Arabidopsis thaliana: one gene and its partner. The protein of the gene in region 1 interacts with the protein of each later gene in a biochemical or structural test. Each region holds a gene or a part of one and is shown in the gene's direction. Other genes may lie near its edges. The genes, in order: ASY1 and ASY3.

The links.
Region 2: the proteins of ASY1 (region 1) and ASY3 form a complex in vitro, tested with the Arabidopsis thaliana proteins (one study listed by BioGRID).

The regions. Positions count from the first base shown.
Region 1 is NC_003070.9:25,236,669-25,248,588, reverse strand, and holds ASY1 (DNA-binding HORMA family protein), read left to right. Parts: upstream 1-4,751; 5' UTR 4,752-4,875; coding exon 4,876-4,878; intron 4,879-5,009; coding exon 5,010-5,066; intron 5,067-5,311; coding exon 5,312-5,408; intron 5,409-5,524; coding exon 5,525-5,593; intron 5,594-5,686; coding exon 5,687-5,779; intron 5,780-5,985; coding exon 5,986-6,106; intron 6,107-6,206; coding exon 6,207-6,276; intron 6,277-6,371; coding exon 6,372-6,413; intron 6,414-6,749; coding exon 6,750-6,878; intron 6,879-6,960; coding exon 6,961-7,074; intron 7,075-7,182; coding exon 7,183-7,225; intron 7,226-7,309; coding exon 7,310-7,345; intron 7,346-7,439; coding exon 7,440-7,567; intron 7,568-7,675; coding exon 7,676-7,688; intron 7,689-7,835; coding exon 7,836-7,912; intron 7,913-8,012; coding exon 8,013-8,108; intron 8,109-8,216; coding exon 8,217-8,367; intron 8,368-8,455; coding exon 8,456-8,532; intron 8,533-8,596; coding exon 8,597-8,657; intron 8,658-8,732; and 7 more. Other genes in the region: AT1G67400 (ELMO/CED-12 family protein), read left to right, coding at 1-24, 93-140, 222-316, 392-490; AT1G67390 (F-box family protein), read right to left, coding at 1,450-1,767, 1,947-2,120, 2,203-2,820, 3,570-3,899; AT1G67360 (Rubber elongation factor protein (REF)), read left to right, coding at 10,676-10,915, 11,035-11,517. UniProt on the Arabidopsis thaliana protein: Required for normal meiosis in male and female gametophytes. Plays a crucial role in coordinating the activity of DMC1, a key member of the homologous recombination machinery.
Region 2 is NC_003071.7:19,294,077-19,306,159, reverse strand, and holds ASY3 (asynaptic protein), read left to right. Parts: upstream 1-1,888; 5' UTR 1,889-2,197; intron 2,198-2,700; exon of another isoform or gene 2,701-2,724; 5' UTR 2,725-2,730; coding exon 2,731-4,263; coding exon of another isoform or gene 4,264-4,281; exon of another isoform or gene 4,282-4,293; intron 4,294-4,361; coding exon 4,362-4,509; intron 4,510-4,613; coding exon 4,614-4,745; intron 4,746-4,823; coding exon 4,824-4,893; intron 4,894-4,975; coding exon 4,976-5,125; intron 5,126-5,198; coding exon 5,199-5,257; coding exon of another isoform or gene 5,258-5,331; exon of another isoform or gene 5,332-5,729; coding exon 5,730-5,864; coding exon of another isoform or gene 5,865-5,926; exon of another isoform or gene 5,927-6,042; coding exon 6,043-6,134; coding exon of another isoform or gene 6,135-6,158; exon of another isoform or gene 6,159-6,229; coding exon 6,230-6,292; 3' UTR 6,293-6,668; downstream 6,669-12,083. Other genes in the region: PIL1 (phytochrome interacting factor 3-like 1), read left to right, coding at 8,482-8,555, 8,730-9,264, 9,346-9,453, 9,542-9,607, 9,713-9,778, 10,142-10,543; CYP709B1 (cytochrome P450, family 709, subfamily B, polypeptide 1), read left to right, coding at 11,948-12,083. UniProt on the Arabidopsis thaliana protein: Required for normal meiosis in male and female gametophytes. Acts with ASY1 at the interface between the developing chromosome axes and the recombination machinery to ensure interhomolog recombination.

The DNA.
Region 1 (11,920 bases):
TGCAAATGCTTGACCTTGAAGCATGTGAGTGTCCCTAATATCTTGCTCTTTGTTTGTGAAGCAAGAAAACTTAATATTTACTACATGTGCAGCAAAACCTAGGAGTTTTATACGGTTGGTGTTCTTACAAATGTTGTCAGGTAAAATATGGAAACATTTGGTTATGATGATCATGGCTCTCTGGTTTTCTTGATTTTTAACTAAGTTTTTGGAATATCTAGAAAGCGAATGGGCCTTTGATTTGCTTTACTGTGTGGCCTTTGTGGTAATGGACAAGCAATGGCTGGACAAGAACGCCACCTACATGGAATTCAACGTGAGTCGATCATCTTTCGGTTTATATTGCTTGGTTATGGTGATGGTGATGTGATGATAAATGGTATTTGTGTAGGATGTGCTAAGATGTACAAGGGGGCAGCTTGAGAGAGAGCTGATGATGGATGATGTTTTCAGAATTGAGGATATGCCTTCTTTCTCTCTTCTCTCTTAGTTTTTTACTAATCAATTCTTGTTGTCACTTTAGATCACTATCTTCATTCTCATTTTCCTAATTAGCTAATTCCATCAATTCAAATTTCGTTTTATTCATATAAACATTATCAAACTCAAGTTTCTCGAAACTAATTTAATTCAATTAATCATTCCAATATCTTCCTAATAAATGATTCACGCCGTTGTCGTTTTCCCAAGCATGGTATCTCTAACAATAAAATAGAAAGATTAGTACGGTAAAATACTACTCTCTCTGTTCCTTTTTGTTTGATCTTTTAGAAAAATCACAAATATTAAAAAAACATATTAAATGTTGCTTTTAAATGTATTGTTTTTTGTGATTTACAATTTTCAATAACTTTAAACCAATGATATTCACTAATTTGTATTGAAGTTTACAATTTATCAATTATAACTAATAACTATTGTATTGAAAATCTAAAAAATCAATCTTTTTGAAACAATTTTTTTTTCTAAACAATCAAACAAAAAGGAACAAAGGGAGTACTATTAGTTTTGGTTTTATTTTAATGTTTGTATAAGAAAATTATCAAAAGTAATATAATGATTTTTTTATTTATTAGTGACAACAAATTTTTTAATGGAAGCCCAAATTTTCAAAATATGTAGATCAATTGTTAGTTTTTAAAGAGCTCCCAAAGTGGATTTTTTTGGAAACGTTATGGAAGCGAGATTCCAAGAGCGCCGATTCCGACTCTAATCCTCGATGCGGTGACAAGTTCATAAAAGCCATTGCAATAAAATGGTATTTTTTGTCATTTAAATTTAAAAACATTCAATATTAAACTAAAGATTAATTGTCATAAAGAAAAATCATCAATATAAAAGGGAGAAGAAAACTACAAGATTATGTTTTGAAATTTGTTTTTTTTCACCACAATCAATGTCACATAGGGCTAGAAATATTATTTTCTACTAGATTCTAACCAAATTCCATCAGAAGCATTCAATACTAAGATTCTCATTACCCTTTGGAAGTTCCTTTAGTTTGGCCACAACCGCTTCGTTATCCAACTTCTCATTTGCAAAAAATGAAGACGTTTTAATCATCATCTTCTTCATTACCGTCCCTTGCGTTACAAAACGCGAAGCTAATGCAAATTGTTTTTTATTTGAACCGTTGAAATCAAACATCCACATAACTTCCACACGAAAATCAGCATTGGGAAACAGATTTGCCTCCTCCCACTTTTTCTTTTGTGTTCCACCAATCGAAGATTCACTATCTTCCTTAGAGTTAGGGACATTGTTATCCTATATATATATAGACAAGAACATACATAAACATGTTGTGTTGGTTATGATAGATACTTGAAATTAAAACTCATTAAACCAAAAAAAAAGATAGAAGATAAAAATTAAAATAAAAAAAAGATAGAAGAAAACTGATCAAATCTTCTAAGTACTAAAATTAAAGCATAAAATGAAAGTACCTTAAATAGTATATGGAGCTCTTCCAATACTCCATTCCAAGCAACTAAAATGTCCCTTAGCATGTGGACTTCTCTCGAATTTGTTACATCCACGACCACCTTCAAAGACTTAAGCTTTTGCAAGTAGCTAGCATCTCCACTCACCACGAACTCATGTCCAATATTTTTTTTCTCCTTCAATTCATGTAAAACAAAATATGTTAAGCAATATATAAAATACCATTTTCTATATATATATATATGCTTGTACTTGTACCTGAGCATGAGATGTAATATTGTAGTTCATGTTTGGCACTTTCTCTAGATCTTTAGTCCAATTATTAAACAAAAGTCTTGGTGCCTTGATGACAAAGTTTTGTTCCTTAGCAAACGCAAAGTAGAAAATGGAGAAAATATCCAGAAGAGCTGCAGACACGTCAATGCAATCAACATGAGGGCAATCCAAATGCAAGACCTTCAGATTATTATTATGAATCTTCAGGCAGGTCTTTTCGTTGTACCACATGCAATTTAGCACCAGCACCTTGAGAGAAGGACATGATGCAATAACTGTGTTGAACACATCAACTTCAGCTAAGATTCCCTCAAGCTTGAGAATCTTCAGATTTTCACACTCCTTGAAGGCATGTGCGGTTACTAAATCGTATCGACGTAGGAAGAGGGTTGCGAGCTTTGGATGCGAGAAAGTGTTAGGGGAAAACCGAAGCACATTGGTTCTCCTACCTTTACCAAGTTTGTTACAAAGTGAGAGAAATCTAGTATTTTTCTCAAGAGTAAGCAATCGAATCCAATTTTCAAGCACACCGTTTACACAATGGTGTGCGAAATGATGGATTGAGCAACCCATCAAATGACCATTGTGATTGTTTATAACCTTGAGAACAAAAATAGTGGTTTTAGTTAAAGATTGATACACATATACAATGTAAAAAGTTGTCAACAAAAGCCAATTCTTTTATATCTTGTGAATAAGTTGATCAATTGTTAAATTCAATAAAATTGAAAGATATATGGCAAGAGATCATTTTTTATATATTTTCATTAGCTAATAGAATAATACATTCAAAATCAGTGCTCACTTTCAAATATATTAATAAACAAATTTTTTAAAAAAATACTCCCTCCATTTCGTATTAGCTGTCGTTTTAAAAGTTAAATTTTATTTTGAATTAGTTGTCATTTTCGGTTTTCAATGCACTTGATAGATTTTCTAATTCTATCTCTATTCTTTAAGCTTATTAATTGATGATATCAACTAAAATAATACAGTAATTAGAATTAAAACAATGAATGTTTTCTTAATACTCGTAAAAAATCTTAAATGAAAACTATTTTAAAGAAATAATCTATGTTTTCGCTTGAAATACCGTTATGCTTACCATTTATTATTGCGGGAAAATAAGATAAAACCAGATAATCACCTAACCACAAAGTTAAACATGTGACTTTCATATTTATATAAGCAAGTGCATTTGATTTCAATTGGTTCACGTATAACATTTCTTCTACGAATCAAAATGTAATGCAATCTAATCAGTTAAGTTAAGGGAAACGAGACAGATAAAAAACAAAACATTTGACTGGAAACTCATAAGAGCAGAATAAGGAAAAATGGAGAGAAACCTGGGTTATCGATTCCGCAACACTATTGGAAAGAGCAGCGATAAGTCCACTCTCGTATGTAGCACTTAGCAAATCGAAGTGGAGGTAAGGCACTTGTTTCCATACATTCTTCCATCGTGTAGACAACACACTTGTCTTCAAAGCATCTTCAGTGGACAAACTTGCTAGGATCATGACCAACACATCGTCGGGGAGTTTACTGATCCGGTCGTCGATTGGATCGATGAGGATACGTTTGCCTCTTGCATCCGATGATCGTGGTGCGTTCATGGATTTGGGCTGATGGTGAGGTTGAGAGGTTTTGAGAATTGAGAGAGGGAATTGACTCATTTCGACTTGTAGACTAGAGAGATTAGAATAGGATTATAGATGAAGAGAAGAGAGACGAAGAGGTTACATATATATACATGATATACGAAGAGATAAGAGTGATTATAGTCAGACAACGAAAATATCTGGTAATAATTGTAATGAAACCCTAATCAAAGTTTATTTTTATTCTTCATTTTTAATTTTCATTACAATTTATAACAGTTAGTTATTTTTGTTGACTATGACATTTAATAAAATGGAAAGAATTTAACAATTAATGCATTCCGTATAAATGGCACAGGATAAAATATGCATTCAGATTTCTTTCCATGACACCAGAAATCATAACATATATAACCATCACCAAGTTGGTTATTTCAAGTCTTTAACGACTTTTGAAAGAAAAAGAAAAATACAAAACGAAGAAACAAAACAAAATTTTCAAAAGAACAGAAATGTAATTGGGGCTAAACCCAAAAACAATATATGAGCCTGGGTTGGGCTGTAACATTAAATAATCAAAAAACAAAATTATACTAGAAAAATTAAAATCAGGGTGGGGTCCAGTTAAGAAGAGCAACGAACTTTTGGATTTTGGCAGCGCTTGTACGTGATTATAGTAATTAGACTATATTGCCCCTACTACCATCTCAAATACCAACGTTACCCCTAAATATCTTCTGGACGTTGAAACGAATAGACGATATTGACCCTGCTTTTGTCACTAAATACCAACGTTACCACTAAATATCTTTCGCGTCGTTACACAATTAGTCGATTTTACCCATGCTATCACCACTAAATATCAGCTTTGCCACTAAATATTCTTCTCCATTTCTATAAACTTCAAACGATCTCCCAGACTCCCTCACTAGTCATAAACTGATAAACATTCTCTCCATTTTCAATTTTTTTTGAAATTTTCTCTTCCCTCCTTCTCTCTGAGAATTCCTCCGACGACGAATCTCGTTATTCGTTTCACACTTCTGCAAAAATGGTGAGAGCAGAAATCGCCGATCATCAATTTTCTCCTCTCCGTCTCGTTCTTCATCTTAGTCTATGAAATTTTCGCTCTGTTCAAGTTCTCTCAGTCTGATTTTAGCGTTTCGTTTTGTTTCTTACCTCCAGGTGATGGCTCAGAAGCTGAAGGAAGCAGAGATCACTGAGCAGGACTCGCTTCTTCTGGTAAGCTACGCCGATCATCGAGCTTTTGAGTTTTTGTTTCTTAACGATTCGTGAAATTTCTAGCTCCTTCCTGGTGATTTTCGTAGATATTGATCTGGATTTCAGATCTCGTTCTCTTATACTTAGTTTTTCGCTTAATCTGAAGAATCGTGAACAGTTTCTATGTTTGTTACGCGTTAATCAGCTGGAGTTTTTAGCTCGTTTACACTGACGTCTTTGTTTTGGTTTTCGTTTTGCTGAAATAGACTAGAAATTTGCTTCGTATTGCTATCTTCAACATAAGTTACATCAGAGGACTCTTTCCTGAGAAGTATTTCAACGATAAATCGGTTCCTGCTTTAGGTGAGATGCTAATCTGGAAGTTTCTAGAGCTCTTTGGCTCTGGGATCTAAAGAAATCAAGTTAAATTTTCGATTTCGGTAAATATTGTAACTAATATTGGGCGGACGCTTTTGTAGATATGAAGATTAAGAAGCTAATGCCTATGGACGCTGAATCTCGCCGATTAATTGATTGGATGGAGAAAGGTTTTCTATACTAATGATTTTGGCATTTATCGCTTAGTTTCAATTGTGTACTCGTTTATCTTTGATGATTTTGTTTCTTAATATGGAATCTAGGAGTCTACGATGCGCTTCAGAGGAAATATTTGAAGACGCTCATGTTCAGCATATGTGAAACTGTTGATGGTCCGATGATTGAGGAATACTCATGTAAGTTCTGGCGAATGATTGATTAGCTTGATAAAAATGTGTTCGCCGGTGGGTGATTTGATTAATTGATGCCTCATCCCTCCCTGTTTAATTGGTGTATGCTTTGATGATTGTGCTTTTTTGCATAATCGCTTTATGCTAAAATTCAATGCTCTATATATATGTAACATCCATTATTGATTGATGAAGGGTCTGTGTTATTGCAGTTTCTTTCAGCTATTCAGATTCTGACAGCCAAGATGTCATGATGAATATCAATCGTACTGGAAATAAGAAAAATGGAGGAATATTTAACTCCACTGCTGACATTACCCCAAATCAAATGAGGTGCAGTGTTGAGATAATTCTTTCCTACTTTGAGTTTGAGGTCTATATTTATCTTCCGTAACAGGCTTTATAATTTTTCATGATTGTGTACTTAAATCAGGAGTTCAGCTTGCAAAATGGTTCGTACACTAGTTCAGCTGATGAGGACTCTTGACAAAATGCCAGATGAGGTAATGAATATTGTAGCTACTCTTCAGTGGAGTTTCATTGACCTCAGTTTTCATATTGCTGATTACTGAGATTCCTACCTTTTTTGCTTCTGCAGCGCACCATAGTGATGAAGCTTCTGTACTACGATGATGTGACGGTATGATTACAGCCTTCCTGAATTCTCTGAACCCTGGTGACATTGCTATGATCTCAATGTAGCTTCAATAGAGCTTCTTTCGTTTAATAACTTATAGACTAGCATATTGTGGTAATAAGCATCCTTATTTTGTGAATGTGACTTTTCTCATTTACTGATTGATTCTACACACTTATAACACATACAGGCTAGCTTTGAATTTGTTGTGTTTGCATTCATTTTCTACTTTCTTTTGGAATCATGTCTTTACATTCATCTTATATCACTTTTCTCTACTATGCCAAAATTGAATGCCCACAAGAAAGACTGACAGCTGTTGTTTAAACCTTTTTGCAGCCACCAGATTACGAGCCACCTTTCTTCAGAGGCTGTACAGAAGACGAAGCTCAGTATGTATGGACAAAGAATCCTCTGAGAATGGAAATTGGGAATGTTAACAGCAAACATCTCGTGTTAACGCTAAAGGTAACGTGATTGAAGAATAAAGCAACTCGCTATACATGTTTCTTGTCTTATGATGTCAATTCATTGTGGATGATCTGTGCAGGTCAAGAGCGTGCTTGATCCTTGTGAAGATGAAAATGACGACATGCAAGATGATGGTAAGAGTATAGGACCTGATTCTGTACATGATGACCAGCCTTCTGATTCAGATAGCGAGGTTAACAAAGTCTCTAATTTGCTCATCTGCTTTGTACTCAGATCTTTTACATCCTATGTGCATTACACTCCACTGTGCCTATAATGTAATGTTCATTGTTGTTTTCAGATCAGTCAAACACAAGAAAATCAATTCATTGTGGCGCCAGTAGGTAATGATGAGTAACAAACCCTTGTATGCTTATGCCAGTCTAGTAATGTTTTCACTTATCTGAGTTAACTTAATAATCTAACAGAGAAACAAGATGACGATGATGGAGAGGTTGATGAAGGTAAATTTACTATACAAATATTACTTCAAAAATTTGGTTTCACGGTATTGGAAAAGCTTTCTTCTAATTTCACCTATCTTTTAAATGCTTCAAGATGACAACACACAGGATCCGGCTGAGAATGAACAGCAGTTAGCAAGGGTGAAGGACTGGATCAACTCCCGTCACCTTGATACTCTGGAGCTCACAGATATTCTTGCAAACTTCCCAGATATCTCAATAGTAATGAGTTGTTCCTCTTCATTTCCACCTTAGAAAGTGTAACTGAGCTCTTGCATGTTTAGTTTCCGCCATTTCTTAACTCTAAGCCACTCTTTTTTATGATTTCAGGTTCTATCTGAAGGTAAATCAAGCTTGATGATGATAACTAGGCAAAAACACGCTTGAAGCATCATCATATGATGATTAATAATACAGTTTGATAATAGCTATCTGTTGTTAACTTCAGAGTCTGTCTTCCTATACTAACTGGTCACAATCTGACTTTCAGAAATCATGGATCAGCTCGTGACAGAAGGTGTTCTTTCGAAAACGGGGAAGGACATGTACATTAAAAAGAGAGACAAGGTGATTCTTTTATCCTGACTCCTACTTTGGTTTCATTTACTTATGACTTTCGCCTTTGCTTTTAAATTTTATTTTCTACCTACTTACCCCAAAATTTCAGACACCAGAGAGCGAATTCACCTTTGTGAAAGAGGAAGCCGATGGTCAAATTTCTCCAGGGAAATCTGTTGCTCCTGAAGACTACTTGTACATGAAAGTGAGGGAGACTCTGACTTCTTACTCTATGTTTAACACACTAGCTCAAAGGATAGATGAATAGAGATGGTCCGGAGATCCATGATTGACACTTGGCTTTTTTTGTTAGGCTCTTTACCATTCTCTTCCGATGAAATATGTGACAATTACAAAGCTTCACAACATGCTGGATGGTGAAGCCAATCAGACTGCAGTTCGTAAATTAATGGACAGGATGACCCAAGAGGGCTACGTGGAAGCTTCGAGCAACCGCAGGCTAGGTTTGCTACCTCAATTCAGACCCTTCTCTGTTAAGTTATGTTGGTTGTTGTGTCATTTTTTCCTCACTGATGCAATGTTTATAAACAGGGAAGCGTGTGATTCATTCTAGTCTAACTGAGAAGAAGCTAAATGAAGTCAGAAAGGTTCTTGCCACCGATGATATGGTAATAATACTTGAAAACCAGAATACCTCTTTGGAACAGCTTTCTAATGTGAATGGTTTCACAGGATGTGGATGTTACCGAAACTATTAACAAGACAAACGGCCCAGATGCCAAAGTAACCGCAGGTACACTCCTTATTTGCACTTTGCAACCCAAGTTTTAAGCTGTTTTAATCGATCTGACATATTTGAAACAAATAGATGTATCTACCTGTGGAGGTATCCACTCCATAGGTTCAGACTTCACACGCACGAAAGGAAGATCTGGTGGGATGCAGCAGAACGGCTCTGTTCTAAGTGAACAGACTATCTCTAAAGCTGGGAACACTCCCATTAGCAACAAGGCACAGGTAGTATGAAATCACCACTGAGAGTGATAGACATATCTTACTGTGTATATGACTCTTTTAAGTGTTTGCTAATTTGGTTATTGTTGCTCACTCAGCCTGCGGCTTCGAGGGAGAGCTTTGCGGTACATGGTGGAGCTGTTAAGGAAGCCGAGACAGTCAACTGTAGCCAAGCCTCACAGGACAGACGTGGCAGGAAAACCAGCATGGTATCTTACACTAAACCATATAAACTCTCTCTACGTTTTTCAACTTTTTAGTTATTTGCTGAAAGAAACTGACATGGTTCTTGTGATTGTTATTCCTACAGGTGAGGGAGCCTATTCTGCAGTACTCCAAGCGTCAGAAATCTCAAGCTAATTGAAGACACCACCTCTATCAGACACCATAACCACCTTCTTCAGTGGTGATGATATTAACCTGAAACACTCGCTTTTTATTGCTTTATTTCTCCTCTGCATTCAGACTATTTTCATACTCCATGCTTGTTATTATCTCTCTTAAAGTATCATATCTTATCGCACTTTTGGGAAGATAATTTATTGCATATCAAACTTTAACACTTATTAGTTATTACTGTGAGTATTATTCACTAATGCTCTACATGCTTTTATGGAACAAGTATGAAGTATAGGACTATCTTCGTTTTAAATTCCCCTGTCGATCACTTTAATCCAAAAACTTTAACTTTAGATACTAACACGTGTTGAAACGTGTACTACGCCATTCCACGCGTCAGGAAATCGAGCACCGCCGAATTCATCTCGCCGGAGCATCACCGCCTTCGATCAGTCACCGCCGATCCGTCTAGTAGTGATGGATAGCCTTCTCCTTGTTGTCGATCTCGAATCCAAATCCAATAAACGTCGAAGATCTGCCGGATAGAACAAAGAAGCTGCTTCAAAAATCTCCAAGAAACACCAGCGCCAGGGAAGCTTCATCTATAACGACACCCATATTGGTGAAGTCGATTCTTTGCTCTTCCTGAGCAAAAGGAATTGATGAAGATATTATTCCTTGAACACAACGGTGAAAACTAAGAGGATTTGTGAAGAAAACGGCGACATCGACAGAAAACATGGATGGAGATCTAAACCAGACAGAGCCGGTTACAAAAGCTGACCTAAAGTCAGATTATTCAATTCGCCGTAGCGAAATTTACAGATTCCGATTAACGGAAAACAAAAGAAAAACCAAATACTAATCTCCGATGGAGATCGGAGAACGGAGGTTCTCTCTCTCTGAAGAGTACGAGAGGGGTAAACTGGGCCGCTTATTTCGCATGTACGTTATTGGGCTTCTCTTTGTAATTGCCCTAATGGACTGTTTTAATGAAAGTATTTGGCCGACAAAAAATAATCCAAAAACTTTAACGCTTATACGTTCACTACTCAATGGAAAGTATACACGTGTTCGTACAAGAATCCCCTAGAATATTTTCGTCATTCCGAGCCCACAGCTTAAAAGTCCAGAAACATCCACACACGACACGCCTTTCTAGAAACGATTCTTTTTTTAATACCCCACACACCCTCAGATCTATTATCAACCGTTGGATTACGTGGACAAGTCCAATGCCACTCGTATTTTTAACCATTCCTCACACTCCTCAACGTGATGTGAAGATACTTTGCTGTTTCATAACGTCATAAAGAACAGTGACAGGCGAAATTTCTCAAGAAAGCAAATCGGAAGAACTCACAAAAAAAACTAAGGTAAGAGATTATTATCATCACTTTTGTTCTTCCTTCACTCAAAACTACGATCAAAATCGTGATTTCATCGTCTTTGGTGTAGATGGAGACAGAGAAGAAAAATAGCAAGGAGGTAGCGCTAAAACACCTAGCGTTCGTGAGAATTGCAACGATCCATATTCTGGCTTCCGTCTCAAATCTCTACGAATACGCTAAACAAAACTCCGGTCCTCTCAAATCCGCCGTGGAAAAGGTCGAAGGAGCCGTCACCACCGTCGTCACCCCTGTCTATCAGAAATTCAAAGATGTTCCTGATTCTCTCCTGGTCTTTCTAGATCACAAGGTAGAGCCCAATTTTGAATTTCTCATAGATTTAGTCTTTGTTGGATCTGATGACCTAATTTAGAAACCAGATCGTGTTTAGTTTTTCAAACATTTCCTTTCTTTATTTACTTTTGCTAGGTGGGTGAAGTTTCGTACAAGTTTGATGAGCATGCTCCTCCAATGGCTAAGAAAGTGGTGAATCAAGCACATGTATTGATCTACAAGGCGACAGAGAAAGCTCAAAGCTTTGTGAAAGAGGCTCGTACCGGTGGTCCCAAAGCTGCGTTTAACTATGCTGCAACTGAGTACAAGTTTTTCGTTGTGACCAACTCGGTTAAAGTCTGGGCTAAACTTAACCAGTATAAACCAATCCATGCAATGGGTGACAAAGCTTTGCCTGTGGCTGCACACTTTTCCAGTCGGTACAACGATTTGGTGACTGATATGACTAATATGGGTTACTCTTTGGTTGGTTATCTTCCGTTGGTTCCTGTTGATGACATTGTTAAGGCTTATGAAAAGGAAGATGCAAGGAGAAAGAAAGGAGGGGATACGGCTGGAAAGAAAGGAGAGACTACTGATGCGGCTGATGGTGATAAATCATCGTCTGATTCGGAGTAGGATTGAGACATTTTGTGATTTGTTGCTGCTTTGGAAAGTTTGGTTTGTTGGGTTTTGGTTATGTGTGTAAATGATCTTAGGACCTCTCTTTTTTTCTTCTATCACAGAACTTTGAACTAGTGTTTTATCTCTTGGTGCTGTGAAAATGTACTACGTGTGTTTCGATCTTTTTAAACAAGGATGGGTAGTGTTAGCTACATAACTTCGAAGAACATGAAAAAATTATCACATTTTGAGAAATTGTATCAGTATCAAAAATGGAGGAGATGGAGAATCAAAACAACTTTACTAAGAACCAATGAGCATTATTTCTTTCTCGTTCGTAAACAAGTTTGAAGTTATTATTTGAGTTTTGTACCAAGCTCCCAGACACCTTAAGAACAAATAGAAACAGAAGCGGACA
Region 2 (12,083 bases), on another chromosome or scaffold:
GAGATGTTCCCTAACAACACTACAAATTACAATTTCCTCACTTTCTTATTTTCTTACTGCCTCCGCCTCCTCTCTGTCCCCTCTTTTCTTCCATTATTTTCATTTGCATCTTCTCTTTATTTCTTTGCAACTTTAATCTTATGATATGTAAATTGTAAATATACTCATTTTTTTCTATATTGAATAAAAAAACTTTTGTTAGAAAAAGATACACATATACGATATTTCCTCAAAAATAATATGAAGTACTGATTTTGGCAGTCATTATAGAATTGCATTTTATTGGAAAGATACACACATAGTTCAAGTACTTTATATATGCGCTAATTTTGAGAACTCCACTTTACTGCGTCGTGGTTGCTTGTCAGTCAAAACTTGGGCTTGCTTTTAAGATGCGTGATTGCATTTGCATGTCTCGTGGCTTTCTTTTTCTGTAGCCCCTCTTGTTGGACTAATCATAGCCTTTTGTTTCCTCCCTTTGCTTTAACATTACTGAAATTATCGGATTGTTTCTTTCATTTGTTGATTGGATGTATGTTTACATTATTACATGTGTATTCATTGTTATAATATACAAGTTTTAAAACATTACTTCCCCTACCAAATAATTTCAAATATATATATATATATATATATATATTCATGAAGCATTTTTTATTTTATTTTGGTTTAATGAAGCATTAAATTTTGAACTTGCTTATGTTACTTTTATGATATTGGAAGAAGTCGAATTATTTCTTCGTTGATATCGTATATAAAATTTAAAACTCATAGAATTTCTATTCAAAAAGTAATTGGTGATTAAATGAATGGAGTGCCTATATATGTATTTTTTTTTTCTTGCAATCAATTTTGATTTAGAATTTGCATGCATGATATTTTTTTAATATTTTTTTATCCTTTAATAATTTTTTTTTATATTATCTAAAGTTGTATTTGTATTCCTTACATAAAGTTTGGTTACTTTCATCTCTAAGGTAAACTGCTAATATTAAAGAAAGTAATTTAATGGAAGCAAAAAGTGTTAAAATATGTAATATAATTTGAATGGAAGAGTAGCCCCCGAGGGCAATCAAGTGGAGGTCTTCCATGGTTAGGATGCAGAAGCTTAATACGTTTATATAGATAGATAAACAATAGCCTCCATAAAGTAAAAGATACTTGCATGCGTGCGTGTAGGTATTGAGTCGAGATGTTACGTGCGTGTCTTTTTATAGATACTATATATTATTGGTTCTTCTAAATCCTTAAAAATGTTAAGATTACGCACGCAATTCATGAATTGTATATAGATTTACCAAATCTTGAATTGATTTTAAATTTCTTACAAAGCAAATACACTGGTAGTGTGACATTTTGTCCCTGTGGATTCTGTATGACGTAATCTCGTTCCTCACATTATGACACTTAATCGAGTGTTTTTTTTTCCCTATCATTTTTTTTGTAAATTTATCCTCTACAAATTATGTATGTTTGTGAACTATTAAATACGATGTTGATATATATATATATATATATATAAACTATATAATAAATAAGTGAATTATTTTACGAGTATGGATCATAAATAAAACATGGAATAACAATAGAATGTTTGTTAAATAGAACTCAAATTAATGATCAGTTATGTACAGTCCGGCCTTAGGCCCAGGCACTACCCACTTGGGCCGGGCCTGGTTATGTAGCATATATATAAACGCTAGTCACCGGGATAGTTGGACTTGGATGGCTCTAGCCTGACCCGTCAAAGTTTAACGGAAACTTGACATATGCAAAGACCGTCTCCGTTTGAACTTTGAAGCGATTGAAATTTTTTGAGAGGCGAATTAAGGCGCCAAAATTTTGAGAATGATAAGTAGATTACGACACATGTACTCACCTCAATCTGACGGTTACGATGCAATGTAAATACGAAGAAATCTCAGGGTTAAAATCGTCCAAATGTTCGGCGTCGTGTATACGCAATTCAGCTACAGACAGTGTTTGTTACACACCATTTTGAGAAATCTAAATTTTCATTTTCCCCCGCTTCTCTCCTAGAAATTTCGAATTTCTGCTTCTCTCTCTCTCTATCAGTTTTCTCAGATCTTATTCCAGTTAATATTCCGGCGATCTTCTTTCTCTCTTTGATCACTTAATTCTTCACCGGAATCAGAGAGTCAGGGCTTTCGCACTTGTACCCGCGAGCTTTGATTAGGTAATTTCTTAGCCAATGATACCATCGCTCGATTTTCTCTGTTTTCGTTTTCGATTCATGGCTCGTTACTCTCATATTCAGTGATAAGTCGTCGCGATCTATGCCCCCTTTCGTTAAATTGGTGTTATCGTCTCGATTTTGAGTTTAGTACCAGCGTTATAGTGTTGTCTTTGCATAATCGGAGAGTTTTGGTATGAAATTCGTTGCTAGAGATATCACATCTCGCTAGTTGTTCATCGTTTCAAGCATCTATTATCTGCTGCTTCTCTTGTTTTCGTCATATTATCCAGATCTAGCACCTTCTTATTTTGGGATTTTCTATTACCAAATTTTTTATCCGAGTGTTAGAAATTTACCATTCCTAATGATTAATTTATCATCCATTATCGCTGAATATAGCCTGCGTTGTACTGCTTTACTTCTCTGTTTGTGTTGCTATTCAGAAATTATATGAGTGATTAGGTGTTCGTTGATATTTACATTCTTTTTCCCAGCAGAATTGTTAACCTTGTGGTGATACATTTCAGGAAAAGATGAGCGACTATAGAAGCTTCGGCAGTAACTACCATCCATCAAGTCAATCTAGAAAGATTTCTATAGGAGTTATGGCTGATTCACAACCGAAAAGGAATCTTGTGCCAGATAAGGATGATGGAGATGTTATTGCTAGAGTAGAAAAGTTGAAATCAGCCACCGTAACTGAATTACAGGCGAACAAGAAAGAGAAAAGTGATTTAGCTGCCAAGCAAAGGAATTCAGCTCAGGTCACAGGACATGTGACCTCACCTTGGAGGTCTCCGAGATCGTCTCATCGGAAATTAGGGACTCTTGAGAGTGTTCTTTGTAAGCAAACATCTAGTTTGTCTGGTAGCAAAGGATTAAACAAGGGACTTAATGGAGCACATCAGACACCAGCTCGTGAATCATTTCAAAACTGTCCCATTTCGAGTCCTCAGCACAGTCTTGGTGAGCTGAATGGTGGCAGGAACGATAGAGTGATGGATAGGAGTCCAGAGAGGATGGAAGAACCTCCATCTGCAGTCTTGCAGCAAAAGGTTGCCTCACAGAGAGAGAAGATGGATAAGCCAGGGAAGGAGACAAATGGAACTACTGATGTTTTGAGATCAAAACTGTGGGAGATATTGGGAAAAGCTTCACCAGCAAATAATGAAGATGTGAACTCTGAGACCCCAGAAGTTGAGAAGACCAACTTCAAGTTGAGTCAAGACAAGGGTTCAAATGATGATCCTCTTATTAAGCCTAGACACAATTCAGATTCTATCGAAACTGATTCTGAAAGCCCTGAAAATGCTACCAGAAGGCCAGTAACCAGATCTTTGTTGCAGAGGAGGGTAGGAGCCAAAGGTGTCCAGAAGAAAACCAAAGCTGGTGCCAACTTAGGTCGCAAGTGCACAGAACAAGTAAATAGTGTATTTTCTTTTGAGGAAGGTTTGCGCGGAAAAATTGGCACTGCTGTGAATTCCAGTGTTATGCCAAAGAAACAAAGGGGTAGAAGAAAAAACACTGTTGTAAAATGCCGTAAGGCTCATTCTCGAAAAAAGGATGAAGCTGATTGGAGTCGGAAGGAGGCGAGCAAGAGCAATACTCCACCACGTTCTGAAAGCACAGAAACTGGCAAAAGATCTTCATCTTCAGACAAAAAGGGAAGTTCCCATGACCTTCATCCACAGAGCAAAGCCCGGAAACAGAAACCAGATATTAGCACAAGGGAAGGAGATTTTCATCCATCGCCAGAAGCTGAGGCAGCAGCTCTGCCAGAGATGTCCCAGGGATTATCTAAAAATGGCGATAAACATGAACGGCCGAGTAATATTTTCAGGGAAAAGTCTGTTGAGCCAGAAAACGAATTCCAGAGTCCAACCTTTGGATATAAAGCACCAATCTCAAGTCCTTCCCCATGTTGTTCTCCAGAAGCATCTCCTTTGCAACCTAGGAATATTAGTCCCACATTAGATGAGACGGAAACACCAATATTTAGCTTCGGTACTAAGAAAACCTCTCAAGGGACAACAGGCCAAGCGTCAGATACAGAAAAGAGATTGCCTGTAACCTTCATAAACTGAAGCGGCTTTATCTATACTTAAGTTGCATATTGACTTTATATACTCCTCTTTGACTTTTGTGTTTACTTATTTATTTTCAGGATTTCTTGGAGAAGAAAAGAGATTATTCTTTCAGAAGAGAAAGTTCTCCTGAGCCAAATGAAGATTTAGTTCTGTCTGATCCGTCGTCTGATGAGCGAGACTCAGATGGTTCAAGAGAAGATTCACCAGTGTTAGGCCATAACATCAGTATGCTTCTTAATTCTTATCCTAGACCATATAAAAACTGGAGGATCTTATTTTCTTCTTAACAGAATCCATGTTTTGCTTATTCTATTGATCTTCTGATTCAGGCCCCGAAGAAAGAGAAACTGCCAATTGGACTAATGAGAGATCTATGTTAGGCCCTAGCTCAGTTAAACGGAACTCTAACCTTAAGGGCATTGGACGTGTCGTGTTAAGTCCTCCCTCCCCTTTGTCAAAAGGTATAATGCTCATTTGTATGTCACTGTTGTGGGTTTATATACTGCACCCTCATTTGTTTTGTCCTGGAAACTGAGCAGGGATCGATAAAACTGATTCCTTCCAGCATTGTTCAGAGATGGATGAGGATGAAGATGAAGGCTTGGGAAGGTCTCTTGTAGATATAACTAATATTACGTGTCTATCTTTAATCTTTGTTCCTGTCTTAAGTTGATTATTTACCATGTCTCAGGGCTGTTGCATTGTTCGCTATGGCTCTTCAAAACTTTGAGAGAAAACTGAAATCTGCAGCTGAAAAGAAGTCCTCAGAAATTATAGCATCAGTCTCCGAGGAGATACATCTGGAGTTGGAGAATATCAAGTCCCATATCATAACAGAAGCGTATGTTTGTATAATTTATTCTGCATTCTTTCTTTTAAATTATCAATCAAAGATCTTGTTAATTATGGTACAGGGGAAAGACAAGTAACCTAGCCAAAACTAAGAGAAAGCATGCCGAAACAAGATTACAAGGTACATCAACACATTATATCTTAATAGTTAATACTGTACTCGAATTCACAGTCATGAACATTAAGAAAGCTTAGAAGTTCAAATATACTATCTTTGCAGTTTAATCCTGATTCAAGGTAGTAGATCGGAAATTTGATATCAAGTATTACTCTTTAGATTGCATTTAGTCTTGAAGTACTCACCATCTTGCTTCATTCTTGTGCTTTCATGTCTCTTTGATTAGACACACACACACACCTAACTATACTTTCGGCTCTAACATAGACATGAAACTTGCATTTAACATAGTTATATCAAGACAAAGCTAAATGCTCAATTCATTCCTATGTGGAGAATAATAAAAAATTGAGCTGTGTATTGTTGTGGAACATGAGAGTCTGGAAATGTCTCCATATTTCCACTCATTGAATAAAAATATGCAAGATCCGTTCTGATCTATTGTGTTCACTGATAATATCTAATCGTCTAACAGAGCAAGAAGAGAAAATGAGAATGATCCATGAAAAGTTCAAGGACGATGTCAGCCATCATCTTGAAGATTTTAAGAGTACTATCGAAGAGCTTGAAGCAAACCAGTCAGAGCTGAAAGGAAGCATAAAGAAGCAAAGTATGTTAACTTCTGTAATTCCTGCTTTTACTACAACGAATTCTAACACTAGAAATACTTGAAACATATGATGTTATCAAAGTTAGATTCTTCATGGCAAGATAGTTTTAATATAATAATAGCAGGAGGACAAGTATTTCCTAAACTCACTTGATAACTTTTTATCTCTCTATGACAGGAACATCACACCAAAAACTCATTGCACATTTTGAAGGAGGCATCGAGACAAAACTGGACGATGCGACCAAAAGAATCGATTCTGTAAACAAGGCAAGTCATTGTTCTGCTTCTTAAGAGTCAGATTCTAAAAATGGTTAAATCATGAATTCAAAAGCACAACTTAAAAATGACGTATTGGTTTACAGTCTGCGAGAGGAAAGATGCTGCAGCTGAAGATGATTGTCGCAGAATGTTTGAGGGATGATTGACACTGAGTCTCACAGAATCAATCAACCACACGTACGTCGTTATTCTCCATTTTAAAACATAAACTAGACGAACTGTGTTAACCAGGAAAGAAAAACCTCTCAAGCAAAACCAGCCTTTGGTTTAGTGGTCTCATGAGTTCAGGCGAATAAAGAAGATATAGTAGATGATGCTTTGACTCATTGTCATTGATTCGTATTCGTATAGAATAGTTTATTGTTCACTGAACCACTACAAAACTACTTATATCATAGAGCCTTATTTTATATAGCAGTTTGAAGGTTTCTTTTTAATTTATTTTTGCCAGCAACTGCAGATATTTTTTATTAAACCAACAACTTTTAATTAGGTTATTGATATCTTGATATATATCGAAGCAAAACCAATCCAAACATTTTTCTTTTAAAAACCAGAATATTTTGCAGACGTTGATGTGAATTTTAATTACAATATTTTACTTTAACAGAGATGTATTTCATATTGAATATCAAAACCAAACTGAACAAAGAATGGTCACAATTCGATATCAATCGAATGAAACAGAAAATAAAATGTTGGACCCAACAATTTTACTGTGATGATAAAAACATGGTAGAGATAATTTTGTTTGTAAATAGAGAGATCTCAAATCACAGAGGATTCTTTTTTTACGGTCGGTAAAAGAATTTAGAATGTGTCGAGAGGGTAAAAATGGAGAAGACGACAAGATAGTAGCAGTCGTTAGAAACAAACAAGAAAGAAGGGAGGGAGACAAAATAACACAAAGGGGTGGATGAATCACGCGGCATTCACGTGAAGTGCACGTGAACTTGGCCAAAAAAAGCCTAATTGTGGGTCCCATTTAAAGAGAAAACTAAAGCCTTTAAGAAAGGGCCCATCCATATATGTCTTAATAATGGCGTGAAGGTTCTTTCCGCTCACGTGGGCCTTTTGTGCCCGTCTCTCTCGCATGTCACTCACTACAGTTTTACTAGTGTTTTGTTTTATTTTTGATAACAACATTATTGATTTTTTTTCGGTCTACCTAAGTTTTGACCTTTCTTTTTTAATTGTGAACAATTGAACATGCGTATTACTTATTGATAATACTTTTATCTTCAATAAAAAAAATAACACACGAACATAATATAGAAATAGTGTGTTCCAATACTGGAGATTATTTAGTAAGTTCAGTTGGACGCTTTGTCATTGCATAGTTTGGAATTTATTCCTAAACTTTCTAAGAACACGTTCTTATAGGAATTTGCATGACGAAAAAATCAATACTAGTTGCATTATTGTTGGAGCATCATCGGGAGTGATTTTTTTTGTGTTTTCCTATTTACTACATTGTGTTTTCCTGACCTTTTAAATAAAAAGGAAATACACAAAACCATATATAAATATATGTATATATATATCTGACTGTGCTCAAGTAAAATTCACGGATCAGACGTTAAAAAAATGATCATGCTTAATATTTTCTCATTTTAGATGAAGACAAAAAAAAAAAAAAGGAATTGCAATCGTAGATTTGACTTTATTTTTATTTAATTTTTCTATTCTTTTTCCGAAAGCAGAGAAAAATGGAGCGGTGGAGAGTAGAGAAGTCGGTCATAAGAATGTCTCTCTCTCTATTTCTTTGTCTTTCACTATCGCCCATACATTATCTTGCTTCTTTCATTTATTCCATCAATATTTTTGTTTTAAAATGAAAGATTTACACATTAACATGAATACTTATACTACTCTTTATCGCGTATATATAGTATAGTCTATGTTATTATGAATTTATGATTATATTTTTTCTATAAAACGTGCGAAAACTCATTTCACATATACAAACAAATATATACGTTTTGTATTAAAAAAAAGCAACTGTAAATTTTATAAATCTGAAATGTAACATTTGAAGTCGACCAAAGTTTGTAAGGTAATAATTTGTACTAATTCTCCATACTGTGTCATAATCACGATTCAAGGATAAATATATGAGTTGTGGACCAAAACAAATCCTCCATATCAATCAATCATAAATGAAATAAGCGAATATACATATATACAACCGACTATATATATATATATATGCTGCTCTTCATTAACCCCAAGAAAGAAAACCAAAGTGTGAAGTCCGAATCTCTCTGATTCTACAATTCACAAAAACCGGAAAAAAAAAAAGACAAGTAAAGAAAGCTTTGTTCAGTTTACTTCAATGGAAGCAAAACCCTTAGCATCATCATCATCTGAACCAAACATGATTTCTCCATCATCAAACATTAAACCAAAGTAAGTTTATTATGGTTTCATCTACACTTTTTGCGACTTCTATAAACATATACACATGCGTGGTTTTGAAATAATGGGCGCTTATGGTTCTGTCGGTGCTTGAAACAATTTTGTCTTCTCCTGACTATTTTTTTTTTGTTAATAGGTTATTTATACGTGACTCTTTTCTTGCAGATTAAAAGATGAAGATTATATGGAGCTGGTGTGTGAAAATGGGCAGATTCTTGCAAAGATTCGAAGACCAAAGAACAACGGTTCTTTTCAAAAGCAACGTAGGCAATCTCTCCTGGATTTGTATGAGACCGAGTACAGCGAGGGTTTCAAGAAAAACATCAAGATTCTTGGAGACACACAAGTTGTTCCGGTGAGTCAGTCTAAGCCACAACAAGATAAAGAAACCAATGAACAAATGAACAACAATAAGAAGAAGCTAAAGTCCTCCAAAATCGAATTTGAGAGAAATGTTTCGAAAAGCAACAAATGTGTTGAATCATCAACATTAATTGATGTTTCTGCTAAAGGTCCAAAGAATGTTGAAGTTACTACAGCTCCTCCTGATGAGCAATCTGCAGCTGTTGGTAGATCCACGGAATTGTATTTTGCTTCTTCATCGAAGTTTTCTCGAGGAACTTCGAGAGATCTAAGTTGTTGTTCTTTAAAGAGGAAGTATGGAGATATTGAAGAAGAAGAATCAACCTATTTAAGTAATGTAAGAGAAATTAATTAGCTGCTTGTCTTAGTTCTTTCACATGGTAGATCATTAATTGTCTTTTTCTTATTGCTTATGCAGAATTCAGATGATGAATCAGATGATGCGAAGACACAAGTTCATGCGAGAACAAGAAAGCCGGTGACTAAAAGAAAACGAAGCACAGAAGTCCATAAGTTATATGAAAGAGTGAGTTTATATGTATGAAAATTTCACCTTAGTTAGTAGAAAAAAAATAATGTATGAAAATTAATGCTAATTAAGGATTTGTTAACAGAAACGAAGAGATGAATTCAACAAGAAAATGCGTGCTTTGCAGGACCTACTACCAAATTGTTACAAGGTTTGAGATTAACTTAAATCACATTACATTGTTTACTTAGTCTTAGAGAGTTAATTAATTTTCTCTTTGTGGAGATTTCTGAATATCTGTAATTGTTGATGATAGGATGATAAGGCTTCATTGTTGGATGAGGCTATCAAATATATGCGGACCCTTCAACTTCAAGTTCAGGTATTCAAAATAATACACCAATTCAATAAAATTTCATTGAGAGATAATAAAATGATTCAGGTGTTAATTATTTAAACACAGACTTGTGTTTATATTTACATATAAATTTGTTTTTTAACATTAAAATATACTTTGTAAAGTGTTTTTGTTATCAAATATTATTGCGTTTGGCTTTTACCTTTACGAATGATTCTTGATAAAGTCACTAGAAACTAGTTTCATAAGAGAAACCAAAACAAATTATAAACGTAATTAAACACTAATCAATAAACAATCAAAAGTTTATTCCTTATTTATTTTACTACAAATTTTTTTACATATATATAAGATTCTTAATTAACATGCTCTAATAATTATTTACAGATGATGAGTATGGGAAATGGATTAATAAGACCACCTACGATGTTGCCAATGGGTCATTACTCTCCCATGGGTCTAGGAATGCATATGGGTGCAGCAGCAACACCAACATCAATACCGCAATTCCTGCCTATGAATGTTCAAGCAACCGGTTTTCCGGGGATGAACAATGCACCACCACAAATGCTAAGCTTTCTTAATCACCCAAGTGGACTAATTCCAAACACTCCTATCTTTTCTCCATTGGAAAATTGCTCTCAGCCATTCGTGGTGCCTTCGTGTGTTTCTCAGACTCAGGCTACTTCTTTTACTCAATTCCCAAAGTCTGCGTCCGCCTCAAACTTAGAAGATGCAATGCAATATAGAGGAAGCAACGGTTTTAGTTATTATCGCTCGCCAAACTAATGATTTGTAGAAAGTTGATGTTTTCTCCAACTAACTAACTTTAAGCAAAAAAAAATGATCGTCTACTCTGTGTTGTTAGTCTATGGGCTTTTGGGCCTTGATTCTTGGAACGATTTGAACTTAATTCCAACTATTTTCAAAGTGGATGTACAAAGTAAAATATAACAAATATAAGTTATCATAGACTCTATAACAAAGTTATAAGTAGAGGACGTGCAATTGCATAATGATGGATGATGATGAGTGTTCAATTACGATAAACCGATTTTAACGCAAACCCAACTAAGATGAAGACAACTCATTTGACCTAAATCGTAATTTGAAACGAATTTTGCCATGTTTTTGGGATTAAGGAACAATCTCAATGATGAGATTGAGTAAAGTACTACAAAACTTGGGCTTGATGGGCTTTTTAGTGGACTAATATCTACTTTATTCTTTCTTTTTTCAAACATTAAAAAATTAATTGGGCTTTTTCAAACACGAAAACAAGGGAGTGCAATAGTGTGATGAAGATGAGACTCACACATTGAATTTCTGATATTTTAGCGTCAGGTGCGTTGAAAACTTGAAATCAATGTGAAGATTCTCTTTTAAAAATAGATGACTCTTATTTCATGAGTTAACATGATACTTAAAGAAAGTGGATAGTTAAGTCTAAACCAATTCTTTTAGTATAGAAATAAAATTTCAACCACTTCCTTTAAATATGAAACCATGCAAAAGTAGATAACAAACGAAAAAGTGTTTCATTTTAAGATTCGATGTCACGATCCATCACATTGCACCGTTGGTTGATAAATATCTCTCATCTTTGTTTATTTATTTTCACAATGTTGTACTTCTATTTCTATAACATTTTCGTTTGAATTCAAATACCAAATTAACTCTCCAAACAATTAGTTCATCAAGTATTTTGTTCACAATGATATGTTAACAACAAATCATTGATTCATTGTCCATGCCGGATTATTTTAAAGATACAGAAACAGTAAACCTAAGATACAATGAATGCTAAAACTAAATTATTCTCCCAAAAGGATTACTTAGCTTTCATGAGTAATTTTATATTTTTCTTTTATCCACTCATTTTTTATATACTTTCTATAATTGTCTTATTACGTAACAAATATGTGCTATAGGCATATTTAGAATCTACTCTATCATCATACCATATATAAGACACATTTTACTTTATTAATTACTTTTTGTTTGTTCTCAAATTGAAAATAAACAGACGTGTTTGTGCTAACTTCATGTAGTGTTTAGATAGTGTTTCATTCACTGGCCATAGACTTATTTTACAAAGTTATATGTGCATGTCATTATATAGTGTAGAACTTAAAACACCTAACCAAGAACAACAATACACACACACAAACATAAGGAAAAAAAAACTTTTCCATGGGGCTCGTAATTTTCTTGGCACTAATTGTCTTAATCCTTATTATTGGTCTCAGGATATTCAAAGCTTTTATGATTCTTGTTTGGCATCCATTTGTGTTGACCAGAAGACTCAAAAACCAAGGAATCTCAGGCC